Caenorhabditis elegans: one gene and its partners. The protein of the gene in region 1 purifies or fractionates together with the protein of each later gene. This does not show direct contact. Each region holds a gene or a part of one and is shown in the gene's direction. Other genes may lie near its edges.

The links.
Region 2: the proteins of cutl-19 (region 1) and lact-6 fractionate together in Caenorhabditis elegans (co-fractionation; one large-scale study listed by BioGRID). This does not show direct contact.
Region 3: the proteins of cutl-19 (region 1) and T10B11.5 fractionate together in Caenorhabditis elegans (co-fractionation; one large-scale study listed by BioGRID). This does not show direct contact.

What each region holds. Positions count from the first base shown.
Region 1 is NC_003281.10:5,215,430-5,219,559, reverse strand, and holds cutl-19 (Cuticlin-like protein 19), read left to right. Parts: upstream 1-1,948; 5' UTR 1,949-1,993; coding exon 1,994-2,038; intron 2,039-2,338; coding exon 2,339-2,490; intron 2,491-2,683; coding exon 2,684-2,769; intron 2,770-2,871; coding exon 2,872-3,039; intron 3,040-3,246; coding exon 3,247-3,320; intron 3,321-3,371; coding exon 3,372-3,560; 3' UTR 3,561-3,609; downstream 3,610-4,130. Other genes in the region: ZC155.2 (Histone H2A/H2B/H3 domain-containing protein), read right to left, coding at 1-172, 220-255.
Region 2 is NC_003282.8:17,428,924-17,433,183, reverse strand, and holds lact-6 (Beta-lactamase-related domain-containing protein), read left to right. Parts: upstream 1-1,796; 5' UTR 1,797-1,806; coding exon 1,807-1,964; intron 1,965-2,013; coding exon 2,014-2,170; intron 2,171-2,215; coding exon 2,216-2,579; intron 2,580-2,621; coding exon 2,622-2,818; intron 2,819-2,870; coding exon 2,871-2,981; intron 2,982-2,994; exon of another isoform or gene 2,995-3,015; intron 3,016-3,026; coding exon 3,027-3,158; intron 3,159-3,210; coding exon 3,211-3,384; 3' UTR 3,385-3,587; downstream 3,588-4,260. Other genes in the region: Receptor-type guanylate cyclase gcy-27, read left to right, coding at 1-60, 116-207; C06A12.3 (GSKIP domain-containing protein), read right to left, coding at 3,700-3,714, 3,759-3,875, 3,921-4,166.
Region 3 is NC_003279.8:6,939,710-6,945,029, reverse strand, and holds T10B11.5 (DUF1273 family protein), read left to right. Parts: upstream 1-1,952; 5' UTR 1,953-2,021; intron 2,022-3,059; 5' UTR 3,060-3,079; coding exon 3,080-3,201; intron 3,202-3,303; coding exon 3,304-3,358; intron 3,359-3,788; coding exon 3,789-4,043; intron 4,044-4,240; coding exon 4,241-4,327; intron 4,328-4,402; coding exon 4,403-4,536; intron 4,537-4,591; coding exon 4,592-4,781; 3' UTR 4,782-4,815; downstream 4,816-5,320. Other genes in the region: T10B11.6 (Transmembrane protein 53), read left to right, coding at 1-17, 153-284, 333-455, 516-657, 1,306-1,439, 1,488-1,650.

The sequences.
Region 1 (4,130 bases):
AATCCATTCTAGTTTCAGAAGTTTCAGAATCAATCGAATCTTCTGTAGTTGTTGAATATGCAGATTTTCCTAGTTGATTTGTTAGCGAAATTCTATCAGTTGCCGTATCATCTGAGTTTCGACGTAGATCACCGTCCGGTATGGTCACACGATTTGGAACATTTGGAGAATTCTGAAAAATTCGATTAACTGTTGGAAAACCCCTGTAATAAAACTCACCGGTTCTAGAAAAGAATTTATTGAAACTCGTCTCATTTTACTATTTGAAATATTCGGAAATAAATTAAAACAGTTGTGAAAACGTTTATGTTTTTTTAAAATTTATTTATAATTTTAAGTTCACGATATATGAACATTTTGCAGTTTTTATTAAATGTTTTAAAAATGATTTAGCACATATCATTGCTATCACACCTTGATGAATGGCGCACTGATTTTTTTTTTCGATTTCAGTAATTTAATTTTTCAAAGTGCGGCGGTCCTACCATAGAAACCCTACCTTTTGTGGAGAAAAAGGTTTGAAAACACGGAAACATAAATAAGGAAAACGAAACTTCACATTGAATCTTTCAAAAATCCGTCAAAAATCTCCATATCTTTTTCTTTTTCTTGTTCTGTTATCCTTCTTTTAACAAAGTCTTCTTCGTGACAAGCCCTGAGACTTCTATGATCCCATGGGACATCCCATCTCTGCTCTCCCAACTATCATTATTCAAAAACAGCAACAAGCACACACATCTAGTAGGACTTTCTTCTTTCCCCGGAAATGTCTTTCTACCAAGTTTAAGCGCTCAATTCTAAAGATGAGGCCAAATTGTCCAATTTCAGAACCGCTTTGTTTTATATGAGGAAGCATCTTTTGAGTTTTGGCTGGTTTTTGAGTTTTTCATTTTCGGATTTTTCAAAAATATTCTAAACAGAGCTCGCAACGCTTTTTGAATGAAAATTATCAAAAATTAATTTTTGTTAGTTTTAATAGAACGGAGTACCATTCAAGGCTGAAAAACAATATTAGCCGTCTACAATTTTCACAACTCATTTTTCAGAAAAATGACCAACTTCTGCTTTTTTTTTTTTGAAAAACAAATGTCGAAACTTCCAATTTATAATTTTTCAAACACAATTTTTCAATCCCGTTTTCGAGATATAATTTTTCCAATTTTTGAAAAAAAAACCTAAATTTATCAGATATCTCTGCTTTTGCCAACATTCGTCCAGATATCAGAGTTTTGGAAAATTGTATTTACTAAGTTAATTCAAGTTTCCATTGTTTTTCAATTGTTTCTATGTGAAAATTATAGATGTCAGAACCTGCAGTAATATTCTCTCAATACTTCTTCTTCTATATTTTTTCAAAAAAAAAAAGGCAATTTACCAAAAATTTAATTGAACATTTTTGAAAAAATCTAGATTCTGAATTTAATTATGATAATCAGTCATGCTTGACCTACAATAACATGACTGAATATTATATTCGAATTCAAAAACTAGAATTTGCAAAAATTTTTCAGTCAACGTTTTGGTAAATTGCCAATTTTCTGAATGCATACTTTCAGTTTTTAAACTTTTAAATTTGTCTAATCCACTTTTACATTTATCAGCAAGTTAAACTTGAGAAGCTCGCCACAGAATTTTTAATTATTTATCCAAAAAAAACTTAAGCCGCATATGACTCATTTGGTAATAGCTCATCGTAGTTTTGAACTTCATTATGAGTTCACTTATAGTAAAAAGCCCATTGCACATTTTCTCCGTTCTCCTTTCTGAACAATGTCTTCCCACATTAGTTATCTACTCTTTGCCCTTTCCAATTCACTACTGTGAAGCCCATAAATCATCAGCTCATCCTCTTTTCATTTCAATGCATTCTCCTATTTCTTCTCGTCCTCTTTTGGCATTTTGGTGCATTTGTTTAGAATTTATGTTAGCCTATTTTTTCATTCTAAAGTTTTCAGATCTTTAAAAAATCTATCAGCTTAATGCATTCAATATGATGGTGGAATATAATAGGATATTTTGCGTTTTAGTGATATTTTCTGTAAGTTTTGACATTTTTGCTTTTAATTGATTTTTTCGACTATTGGATAAATTTAATGTACTGCAATAACTTGTTTTGACAAGTCCCATCCGAATAAATTCATGCGCCCTTACAATTAAACGTGGAGTAGCACCAGTAATTATTTGATCGAAATATACCCAGTGCGGGTCAAAAAAACTAAATAAATCTGTTAAAAAATCTGTATTATGTTTTCGATTTTTCGGAAAATTTTTTTCAAGGTGTTGGCAAATATCGAAAAAGAAAATCTGAAAATATCACAATTTTCTCTAACCCTTACAGACCACAATCAAATGTGAATATAGTGAACTTATGAATCAGAAAATTGGAGTTCGTGTCGAAGTACTAAATATGATCTATGAAAATGAGACAACGATCACATCTACAGGACATCCAAGATGTCGGCTAACATTGCATAAGTCAGGCTGGGATCGGTACCTATGTTTCATTTCTTTCGGTTCTTTTAGTTTAGACTTTTCAGTTTTTATGGAAGTAAAATTTTTTGCCTATAATTTCAAACAACTAAATTTTAAAAAAATTAAATTTCAAAAATATCAAAAAAGTTACTTCCAAACTGTTTGGTTAGTTTTGATCATGGTACATGAATTCAAACTTCTTGTATTTCAGAGATACATGTTCAAGTCCTCAGTTTAAATTAAACGACACCTTATCATGGTCAACAAGAGTTTGTTATAAATGGGTTTGCGATACAAGTAAGTTGAATAAATACTGTTTTTGGCAAGAAATTCTAAGCATAACCAAGAACCAATATAATATTTGCCGGTACTGTAAAGCTTCATTGTAACCATTTTCAGCCAAGTACGCGATGCGAGTGGAAAGTTGTTGGATTGGATCACCAAATATGTCTGTTTACATATTAAGAGATGATGGATGTACAATTGAAAAAGCAATACTAACATCTCCAGTTTATACATCATTTAATAGAGCTGCAGCAATTGGATGGATGGCTGTAAGACAGAAAAGTTAGTTTGATTTTAGTCTCCGGTTGTTTTTTGTTGAACAACTTTGCTACCACGAAGGTTTTCAAGATTTCCTTGCTTATTTTTAGAAAATCAAACAAATAAAAAACGAACGCACCCCCAATCAACAACAAACCCAATCCGAAAAACTTCCTCTCTTTTTCTCTGTTATCTCTTTCAAATCAACAATATTTCATTTCAATCTTCCAGATATGAAGTACATGCATGTCGGATGTACTATCCGCCTGTGCCACCTATGTGATCCAAAGTGTCAGACAATAACAGTGAGCATTTCGTTAAATTCAATTGCTCATCACTTTTCTTGTTTTTTTCAGCCTCCACGAACCTGTAATGATAATCGAGCCGATGACTATGAGGCTATGTGGAATAGTTCTTCTAGAGTCAAGAATTTATGTTTTCCCGAGCCATCGACCACTGAAAATTTGAATTTGAATTTTGGAAATTCTCCTTTCCAAAATGTTGGAAATATTATCATTCTGCTACTTGTCTTCTTATTACGTTGAATTTTGCTCAAGAATATTTAATTTCGAATAAAAAATTACCGTATCCACAAACGTCGTCAGCTTCGGTGTTTCATTAAATTCACAGAACATTTTCGAGAAATTAAAAGTTTAACAAACAAAAAATAAAATGTTTTATATAATTTTTAAAAAAATATATTAACAACTTTCCGTGTTTTTAAACTAGCGAAATTTGCAATTAATGACATTAAAAGTGCAAAAAAGTCAAGAAAAAGTTTTCCTGTACAGTAACCCAGTCTGCATTTTGTCGTCAAAGACGGTGTGAACTTTTTTTATTTTTTTATTATTTTTTTTTATTTCTTCTTTATCCGGATTTTGAAATTCTATTGGAAATAAATTTTTTAAAAAACAATAAAATTAATTATGGATTTAAAAAAAACTATGTGGTTTTGTTTTGAATCGCTCCGCCAAATGTTTTTTCCACAAACGCTTTTCCTGTGAACTGTTTTTTTTTATATCGTGATCTACTTTTGTTCTCTGTTCCCGCCATTCATTCGTTTATACAAAAAACCAGTTTCGACACAATCTTTCATCATCATCGTTTTTTACCAG
Region 2 (4,260 bases), on another chromosome or scaffold:
TATTGGCCACTCATGAGTATAAACTGGTGAAACGAGGGATAGTTCATGTCAAAGGAAAAGGTATGTCAAACACAATTTTATATAAACTTTTAAATATTTTTGTTTTTCTATGTAGGTGAAGTGAATTGCTACTGGCTTAACGAGCACATACACAAGGACGAAGAAATCGAGGAATCGGGCACAATATCCCATCCCTTAGAGTCGTGAAAATTTTTTAAATCTATTTTTTTAATTCATATACGTTTCTCTAAAAATGAACGTTTAAATAATTTTGCAAAAGCGTTTTCTTACAAAAAAAAAGCCTTTTATGACAACATATCGAAATAACAATAGTTTTTCAAATAAATTCTTTGAATTTTGAAGATCATCCAACTATTTTTCCAAGGTCCACCGATGTTTGTATGCGCAAAAATTTAAAACTAAAAGTAAAAGGTTGAAAACGAAAAGACGGTGACAAGTGGTTAATTATTTGCTCAGAAAAACATAAAAGAGAACTAGAGTTTGTTATAAACGGACACTACAAACTATAAGGCCAGAAGTTGGAGAATTGTAAAAGTTTGAAGTGTGTAAAACTTTAAAAATATGTGAAAACTATAATGTGTTATTTTTCTTCCATATTTTCCTAGTCCAATGTTAAATAAAAAACAATCATTCGGTGCTCTACTAATAAACATTAGCAGAAATCATGATTTTTTTTCTTTTCGAGGCATAGTTAAATCATAGAATAGTAGTTGGTAAACTCAATTAAAACATGGTTTGATAAGAATTGATGATATGGGCAAGAACCAGAACGAGTTCAGGGTGCACTGGCCTATGAGGTTTGACTGATAACTCAGATGGTCGTATATATATATATACCTCCCTGAGAATAATACATGTTTTTTTATGATTGAATAACATTTTTGTTTCAACGTGTTGTATTTGTGTTCTCTCAGGTAATCAATTGATAGTTAAATACGGTATTTTATATGGTAATCTTGCCCAACATTTCTTAACTCTGAAGGTATTTATATCCGTTGTATTGTTTTTTTAAACAATTATAGATATCCAAAAGCTTGATTTTTTATTTATTATTTAGCAATGAAACATTTGCAAATAATTTTTTATTGAGCCGGGATATGAATTAATAAAATATAGAACTGGATTTTGAAATTCGGTGTTGTTCTTAGTTATGTAACGCTAAAATTTTTGTAGTGCTGAAATAAATATTTATGTGTACTTTTCCATATCAAAAGGTGATTTTTCAATAGGAATTTTCACCACTGATTTCATTGAAAAATGCTCCATTTTCTAACAGTTCATTTAACCGGGAACTTTCTCTTGTCCCTTATATCACTTGTCACTTGAATTTTTCTATCTTATCATTATAGTGTCCAGCACACAATACAGACAACTTTGAAGTTCGGTACGTCCTCACCTTTTCAAACAACAATAATATGTACTACCCCTTATGTTATTTTTGCTAATGTAATTCATATTGTTTCAAAAGGTGGCACAACATATTTGTAGTGTTTGCAAAACATTTGTGGCTGGTTTCAACGTTTTGTCAAAACTCCACCTACTTATTGTTCGACCCTCTTTATACCACGAGTCTCCACGAGAACAGGAGGGAGGTACAAAAAGAAACGAAGATTATATCATGTTTTTATTTTCTGCCACACATCTTCTGTTTCTTTAGAAACTTGTTTTCATCTTCGGACTCATCATTCTTTAAAGTGTTCATATTTTGAAACAGTTTTAAAACATTTTATAAATACTTTTAGCTTAAAGAATTAAAAAAAACCATTAAATATTTCAGAGTGAAATATGCGACTTGATTTTGATACGTTTGGATGTTTATATCTATTTGTAATTCCATTTGTGGTTCAACCATTTCTTTCGTGTTGGTTAACGCCAAATGTTAATGACGATAATGTTAATGGCTATGTGGACGAGCGGTTTGAGACCGTTTTAGAAGCATTCCGGTAATGAAAAACTTTTTTGATTTACTATCAAAAACTATTTTTGTTCCAGACGAAATTTTGGACAAGGAGAAGAACGTGAAGGTGCTGCGTTTGCAGTTTATTACAAAGGAAAAGAAGTAGTAAATCTATGGGGTGGATATGCTGACAAAGAGTCGGGAAGAAAATGGTCAGAAAACACCAAAAGTGTGATGTTTTCTGCATCAAAGGTGAGTGCTCATCAGAAAATTTGTATTATGCACACAATTTTTCAGGCCGTTTGTTCTATTGTGATAGCTGTAATGGTTGACAGGGGTCTTCTAAACTATGCAGATCGTGTGGTAGATTATTGGCCAGAGTACGGGCGATATGGTAAAAACGCGACTACCATAGAAGACGTACTTTCTCACAAAGCAGGACTTCCGTATCTCAGTGAAGATATCTCAATAGAAGACGTCAAAAATGGATTGAAAATCATGGAAAAAGTAGAAAACTCTGTTCCAGCTTGGACTCCTGGCACCGCGTCCGGTTATCATGCGGTTACTTTTGGGTTCATTTTAGATGGATTGGTCAGAAAAGCAGATCCACGTGGCAGAAATATAAAGAGATTTTTTGAGGAGGAAATTGCTAGACCAAACGGTGAGTCACTATAACACTAGAAATATTGAATTTTTTTCTCAGATCTCGACATTCAAATCGGTGCCCAAAAATCAGAGGCTCCATATCTCGCTCGTCTCACAACACCGTCTTTATGGGAATTCACGCGTGATATAATAAAGGACCCAAAAATTCTTATTATGCTTGGACTTATGTATATCCGCTTTGATACACTTGTTCATAAAATGAGATCAAATCCAGATTGGCTACTCGTTAATTACGTAAGTGTTTCTTAATGTTGTTGAACAGGAAACACAATTTGAAACTGTTTAGGATACTATGGTATTAAACGATCCCGAGATTGTTTCTCTAAATCTTCCCGCTGTAACCGCTATTGGAAATGTGAGAGATGTTTCAAGGTTGTTATCAATGATCGTTGAAAAGGTAATTGGAACATTGAATCTCAGACTTGAAAAATAGTTTTTACAGGAGCTAATATCAAATACCACACTCCTCGAACTTTCCCGGCCTACGTTAAACAGCTGGCATTTCGAAAAAGTAACTATCTGGCCGGTTATCAAAGGGCATGGGTTCTTCTATGAAAAACACCCATTGATACCTGTAAGAAAGTTGAAATTGTAGTAATTCGAAAAATAATAGAACAATGCTTTAGGAAGCCTTCACATTTGGCCATCCAGGTTACGGTGGACAGTTTGTTCACATGGATCCAGAATCTCAAATTTCAATTACATATTTATCAAATGGTTTGAAAACTGGCACTGGAGAGCTTTGCGGAACATATATGAGATTACTGAACGAAGTATACAATAGTTTGAGGAGAATATAATCTGAAGAGAATATAGTTTCATTTTTCTAACAGTTACCTCACTTCTTTTCATGTTTGTATATTTAAAAAAAAACAACACAACAATGCTTAATTCGTCAAATATATGATCTCAACCTTTTCTCATCAATGCCTTGCTCCTTCGCGTGACATGAATATTTAACTTCCAAATATTAACTCTACCTTTTATGAAAATGTCTCAGATATAACCCATTTATTTATTTTATCGACAAGTATCAGAACGAATTGGCTAAAAACTCGAAAGTATGTAGTATTGAGTAAAATTGATTATTTATTGTCAATTTAATGTTCATGTCCTTATTGAACCGCCACCTGAAACAAAATAAATTCTGTAGAGTCAATAGTGGTGGTTTTACCTCAGCTAACTTGCTGAGTTTCTGAGCAACACACTCATTAAATCGTGTTGCATGGTCAGGTGATATGAATTTCAAAAGTTCACGAGCATTTCGATAGTATTTAGTGTGAAGGGAGATCTGAAAGCTAAACATTATACGGTTATTTCTAAATCAAGTGCATACTTTCGTATAATCCCCGTTCATGCAATCAGTATGGGACGAAGCAATTCTCCATCCTTTCATAGTCAGCTCTAAAGTGTATGGGCTTCCTTCCTGAGTTTTCACATTAACAAAAATCAGGTCACTAGTTCTGGGGAGCATTTCCGAAACACTGATGTCTTGAACTTCATGTGCTAATTCGTGGACTGCAGCAATTGCTTCCAGTTCCAGCGGTCCAACGTCATCATCTGACGGAATAACTCCACCTTCCTAAAATTATTAATGAAATCCTTTGAGACAAATATCATGAAAAATGTTGAAAACAAAAAGTTTTTTCAACAAAGTGGGTAAAAAGTGGGCAAGA
Region 3 (5,320 bases), on another chromosome or scaffold:
GTTTATAATGATGAAGGGTAAATTTTAGTTTTTTATTTGAAAAAAATGGGTAAAAAACTTACTCTTTTACCCAGAATTTTGAAATTTAAAAGAGTTTATTTTATAAGCCTTTCTTTAATGAGAAATATATATAATTTTAGACATTTTTTCAGATATCGAGTTGTCTCCCTCTGTCCACCATGTTATCACTATAGTATTCCAAATTCTCGTGTTGGATTCTACATGTCACCACTTTTCAGAGCAATTGATGCAAAACCCGGAGATTTCAGATCATTTGCCAAATGGTTGGGTTGATTTTTAAAAAATTAAATATTGAATTAATCAGTTTTCAGTCCAATAATTGTTCACTCATTTTCAATGAACGGAGTACGCGGATTAATTTCATTTTGGAAATGGACAGAAGCAGAGGAAAAACCACAATTAAGAGAACGAATTAAAGGAATTATTTTCGATAGGTGAGTTTTATATTGAAATTGAACTTTGGTTTCAGTTATTCTTAAATTTTTATTTTTCAGTGCCCCATCGCGCCCATATGGAAAACAAGACGCTACGGCAATGGTCATTTCAACTCCTCCAATTGATGCATTTGAACGATGGATTAGTGAGCAAACGAGAATTTCTGTGCTTACTTGGTTCTTGAATCTACGAGCTTACTTGGTTCGTTTTTCATAATTGAGAAAACACTATTTAAACTTATTTTTTGGAAGTTGTGACTATTTTTATTGCTCAAATATACTAAAACTGGTCTGAAAAGACCGAAATTCGAGACCTCAAAAATGTCAAAAAAATTTAATTGCAGGTTTTTTGAAAAAAATAATAAAATTTTGCTAAAATCTGAAAATTCAGCTAGAATACAGTATTATTATTTTTTAAAATTTTTGAATTAAGTATTTTGGTCGTTTATCTCGCTTTACTTCATTGATTTAAGAACATTTCAAGTCGATAAGCACCCAACAATTACCAAAATTGAATTCGAATTTAAATGTTTCTAAATCAACGAACTAACGCGAGATAAACTACCAAAATATGCAAAAAGAATGATAATTTAATAAAAACTGTATTCCAGTTGCTACGGCAAGGAAAAATTGGCGAAATTTCAGATTGTAACTAATTGTAAGGTTACCTTTTTTTCGAAATTTTGACCCGTCTATAAAAATGTTTGGAAATTTTTTCTTAATAAAATTCGGTTCTTTCAATCCAGTTTTAGACAATCTCTTAGCAAAAATCAGTAAACCTCTTTCATTAAATACGAAGAAAAACCCCATATTTGAATTTTCAAAAACCTCATTCAAATTCGTTTTTCAGCAAATCCCACTTCTTACGATGGTTCCATTTTTACGTTCGTTTGTGTCAATCTACTATTATCTTCAAACACATATTGCCCTGCCACGTGATCAACTGTATTTATACTCTAAAGCTGACACTATGATCAAGGCGAAGTATGTACAATTTATTACGTTGATTGATCAATTTATGAGATTTTTCAGACATGTCGAGAAATTCATTGAAAAACAAAAAGAAAAAGGAAATTCAGTGACCGCTATTGATTTCGTCGACTCTGAGCATGTTGCACACATTCGAACACATCCAAAAGATTACCGTACAGCTTGCCTGAACTTTGTTAGACACGTCGAAGCGTCGTATAAATGAAGAAATGAGGAATAATTGTTAATTAACGGGTCATTCAATTTCTGTACCTTCTTAATGCCTTGTTGACTCGCTTTTCTCAGTTTGGAAATGGAGTAGACTAACTGAAAATATTGAATTGACATTTCATCCGAAACTTCAGTAGATTCAAGATTTCCGGGTTTTTGTTCAAATTTAGATTGCCAATAAACATTTTAGAGTTTGCAATTTTGTTTCTTGTCTCTGAAATAGTAAAAGCGTGAAAACAAAATAACTACAACGTGGTCTTCGTTTTTCTCCGTAAAATCAATATCCAATCACTCGTTAAGAACATTGATAAGAAGAACGTTCAAGTTGTGCCCTCCCCGATAACAAAATGATTAGACGCAGTTTTGGTACGTTTTCCCTGCTTTTCCATTCTTTCTGATGTTTTTCCGAAGATTATCTTTGATAACGAACGGTTTTTAAGTGTATCTGACAAGGATGAATGGGTGGTTGCAGTGGTTTTTGCCTGAATTTAAATAATACCAATGAAGACTATATGTACCTTTTGAGTTGAAACAAATCCAAAATGTGAACATCCACATTACTCTGAAGAGATTTTCCCATTTTTCTCATGTTGATTTCTCCTTGACCAACAAAAAAGTTGTAAAAATCTGCTATTCACCAAAATGTGATTTGAAAAAAACTTATTATTTACAAAAATCAAAAACTATTAAGAAATATACTTAAAAGTTTTTCTTGCTCAGTTTCCAATTTTCATGATTTTGGAAGTCGACCAAAATAATTTTAATGCAAGTTTTGAACCTTTTTTTTTAATAGTGCTCTGAACATTCAAGATGCTCTTAATTTCTCAAAAAGTCCAAATTTCAAAAATTTGTCTATTCACCAAAACTTTTACTACGTACTATAGTAGTATAATGACATGTGTACTTTTGAGATTTTGTTCTTCGTAATGAGAATGTATAGTCATCACTCTGTCAATCAAAAAAATTGAGGTTTGAGCAAATAGATTCTATAGTTTATCGTATGTCACATTTAAATTTTAGTTCCTAACTAGGAGCTAATTAAAAAAAACCTTGGCGTATGATATTCTGATATTTTATCAGCCAGCGGGACGAAGACTAACCAGTAGCTTTGGTTATACTCATAGGTAAATCTTTGATCAACAAACGAATCGCAATGGGTTGACCCTCAACGGCTAGTTGGCTGCTCAGCCAATTCTCAAAAAATTATTTGTTATCACAGACTAGTTCTGTTTTTTTTCAGTTACTTGTGTTCTTATCTCGAATAGTCCGCTTATATTTGCGTATTAGACCTTTTTTAGTTTCTGAAAAAACGTCTGGAAAGTTACGTGGCGCCGATGTCTGACCATAATTTCATCTTCATCTCCAACTTTTCTCGAACATGCTACAGTTTTATACTTTTTTCAGGCTCGTTTCTGTTACATAAAATGTCAAGACCAAAAGCAATTGTGAGACATGGGAAGCGTGACACAATCGTTGCATTACTTGGATGGGCGGGAGCTGTTGACAGAAATGTGGAGAAATATGCAGGGATTTATCAAAAGAAAGGGTATGTTGAAGTGAGAAAATGTGAAAATGTTTGTCAAATTTTGTTATGCTCTCAACTCAGAAACCTAGGTTTTATAAAATTGCACCCGTTTGTAATCTTCAGGTACACAACAGTTCAATTCACAGCTCTTGCGGCTGTTAAAGGATGGGGAACTAAGGTGAGCAGAAGAAAAATATAATGAAAAAATATAATGCACATTTTGACGAAAATTCCAAATAAGGGTCGACAAAATGTCAGCCCATTTCGTGCAATTCACAATTATTCGTTTAAGTTTGGCCTGAAATAGTTTTGCTATACGGTAGTAGACTAACTTTGGATATAACACTCTACCAGTTAACATTTGGAATACGCAGTAATAGAATATATATTCCAATAAAACTAAAAAAGAACTGCCAATGCAGAATAAGTGGAGCCTAATAAATAGAATGCAGTAGAATTAGTAAAAATTGGAAAATAATTTAAGACTGTTTTCTATGAAACATATTGCTCGAGGGTACTTTCAATTCTCAATTTATCCAAAATTCTGAAATCGGTCTACAAAAGTTTTCTATTTCACATAAAGCAGTTATAATTTTAAAGAATTTCAGGATGGTAGAAATGTGGATCATCTAGCAAGCACACTTGACTCTGTCCTTATAAATCCTTCAAATCGTCTTGTATTTCATGTATTCTCTATGAATGGATTTATTGCACTCACTTCTCTTGATTCACAATTTCCAGAATTAAAAGCAATTGAAAAATGCGATGGAATATTTATGGATTCATGTCCAGCATGCTTCTCTTTTTCAATTGAGAATATGCAAAAACATGCATTGGTCATGAATCATGTTTATGATCAATTGGTAAGCACTAGTTTTTAAAAACTAATAGTAGTTGGATACATAGTCGATCCATTTTTTGCCTCACAGCTTTTAGCTTTGGGATGATCATGGGGACTTCCACAAACGGCTTCGAACTATACAGTACTCTAGAATGGGTTAACGTTGAGAAGAGCCTCTCACTTACAAAAATGAAATTGAGAGCCATTTCAATTTTTCAGATCAAAAACTCGAATTTCGTACTTGGAAACTTTTATAAAGTTTACAAGAAATGGGAAACAGCAAGGTTTGGATATCAAATGATTATGGTTAGTTGTATTTTTTTTGTCTACCTCAAAATTTTACCTAACGCTTTTCAAATTTCCAATGTATCATTTCTGCAGGACACAATGTCTATAAAAGCTGGATTGTGTACAATTGAAGAGGCAAATCCGTTCTTTTATCTATTGAATCATCCACATCTTCCACCAATCTTAACTTCTATTTTTTCCGATAATGACATTGTTTGTTCTGCTGAGTAAGTATTATTAGTTCATGCTTTAAAAAAGTATTCAAATATATTTATCTTTCAGTGAAATCAACTTATTCAACGAGTGTGCTGCAAAGAAAAGTGATAAGAAGAGACAAATCATGGCGACTAGGCTAAAAGATACTGCACACGTCGAACACTTCAGAAAGTATCCGAAATTATATTTGGAGAAAATGGACGAGTTTTTGCAAAAAGTGGAAAAACTTAGAAATGGCGGGAATTCAAAGCTATAAAACATGATGCTAAATAAATGATACATTTTTAAATTTTTGTTACATGCAGCCACTGTTGTCAGACATATTTTAACTCATTGTTAGGCGATCTACTCCTTAGGAAACCGGCAATCAAGTAGCCGGTTGCCGAAATACGAAAAGGTGTACGTTACTGTAATTTCACACCTGTTAATGTGGCTTTTTAAAATTGAGTTTTCATAATTTTGCTCATGTTTTGTTAATCAAAAACAATGACATTTTACATTTGTCTCTACCTGCAGCTACACAAGCTTCAAGATGCTCAAAAGTTTAAAAGTGTGGCACTCAAGTAGACACTATCCAGTTGATTGGAGCTTTCTTGAAGGAATTTATGGAAGGATTCAATCTGCTGCAAAATAGTTTACTGGTTGGTGTAATTTCACAGCTAGGTTACGGTAGTTGAAACTTCAGCAAAGTTGTCATAATCTTCAAAAATTTCATTTCAAACATGTCACGTAACTCTTACCAAAACGGCATTTCAATATCCTTATTTTTCCAAGTGATCTTTGCTCGTATTAAAT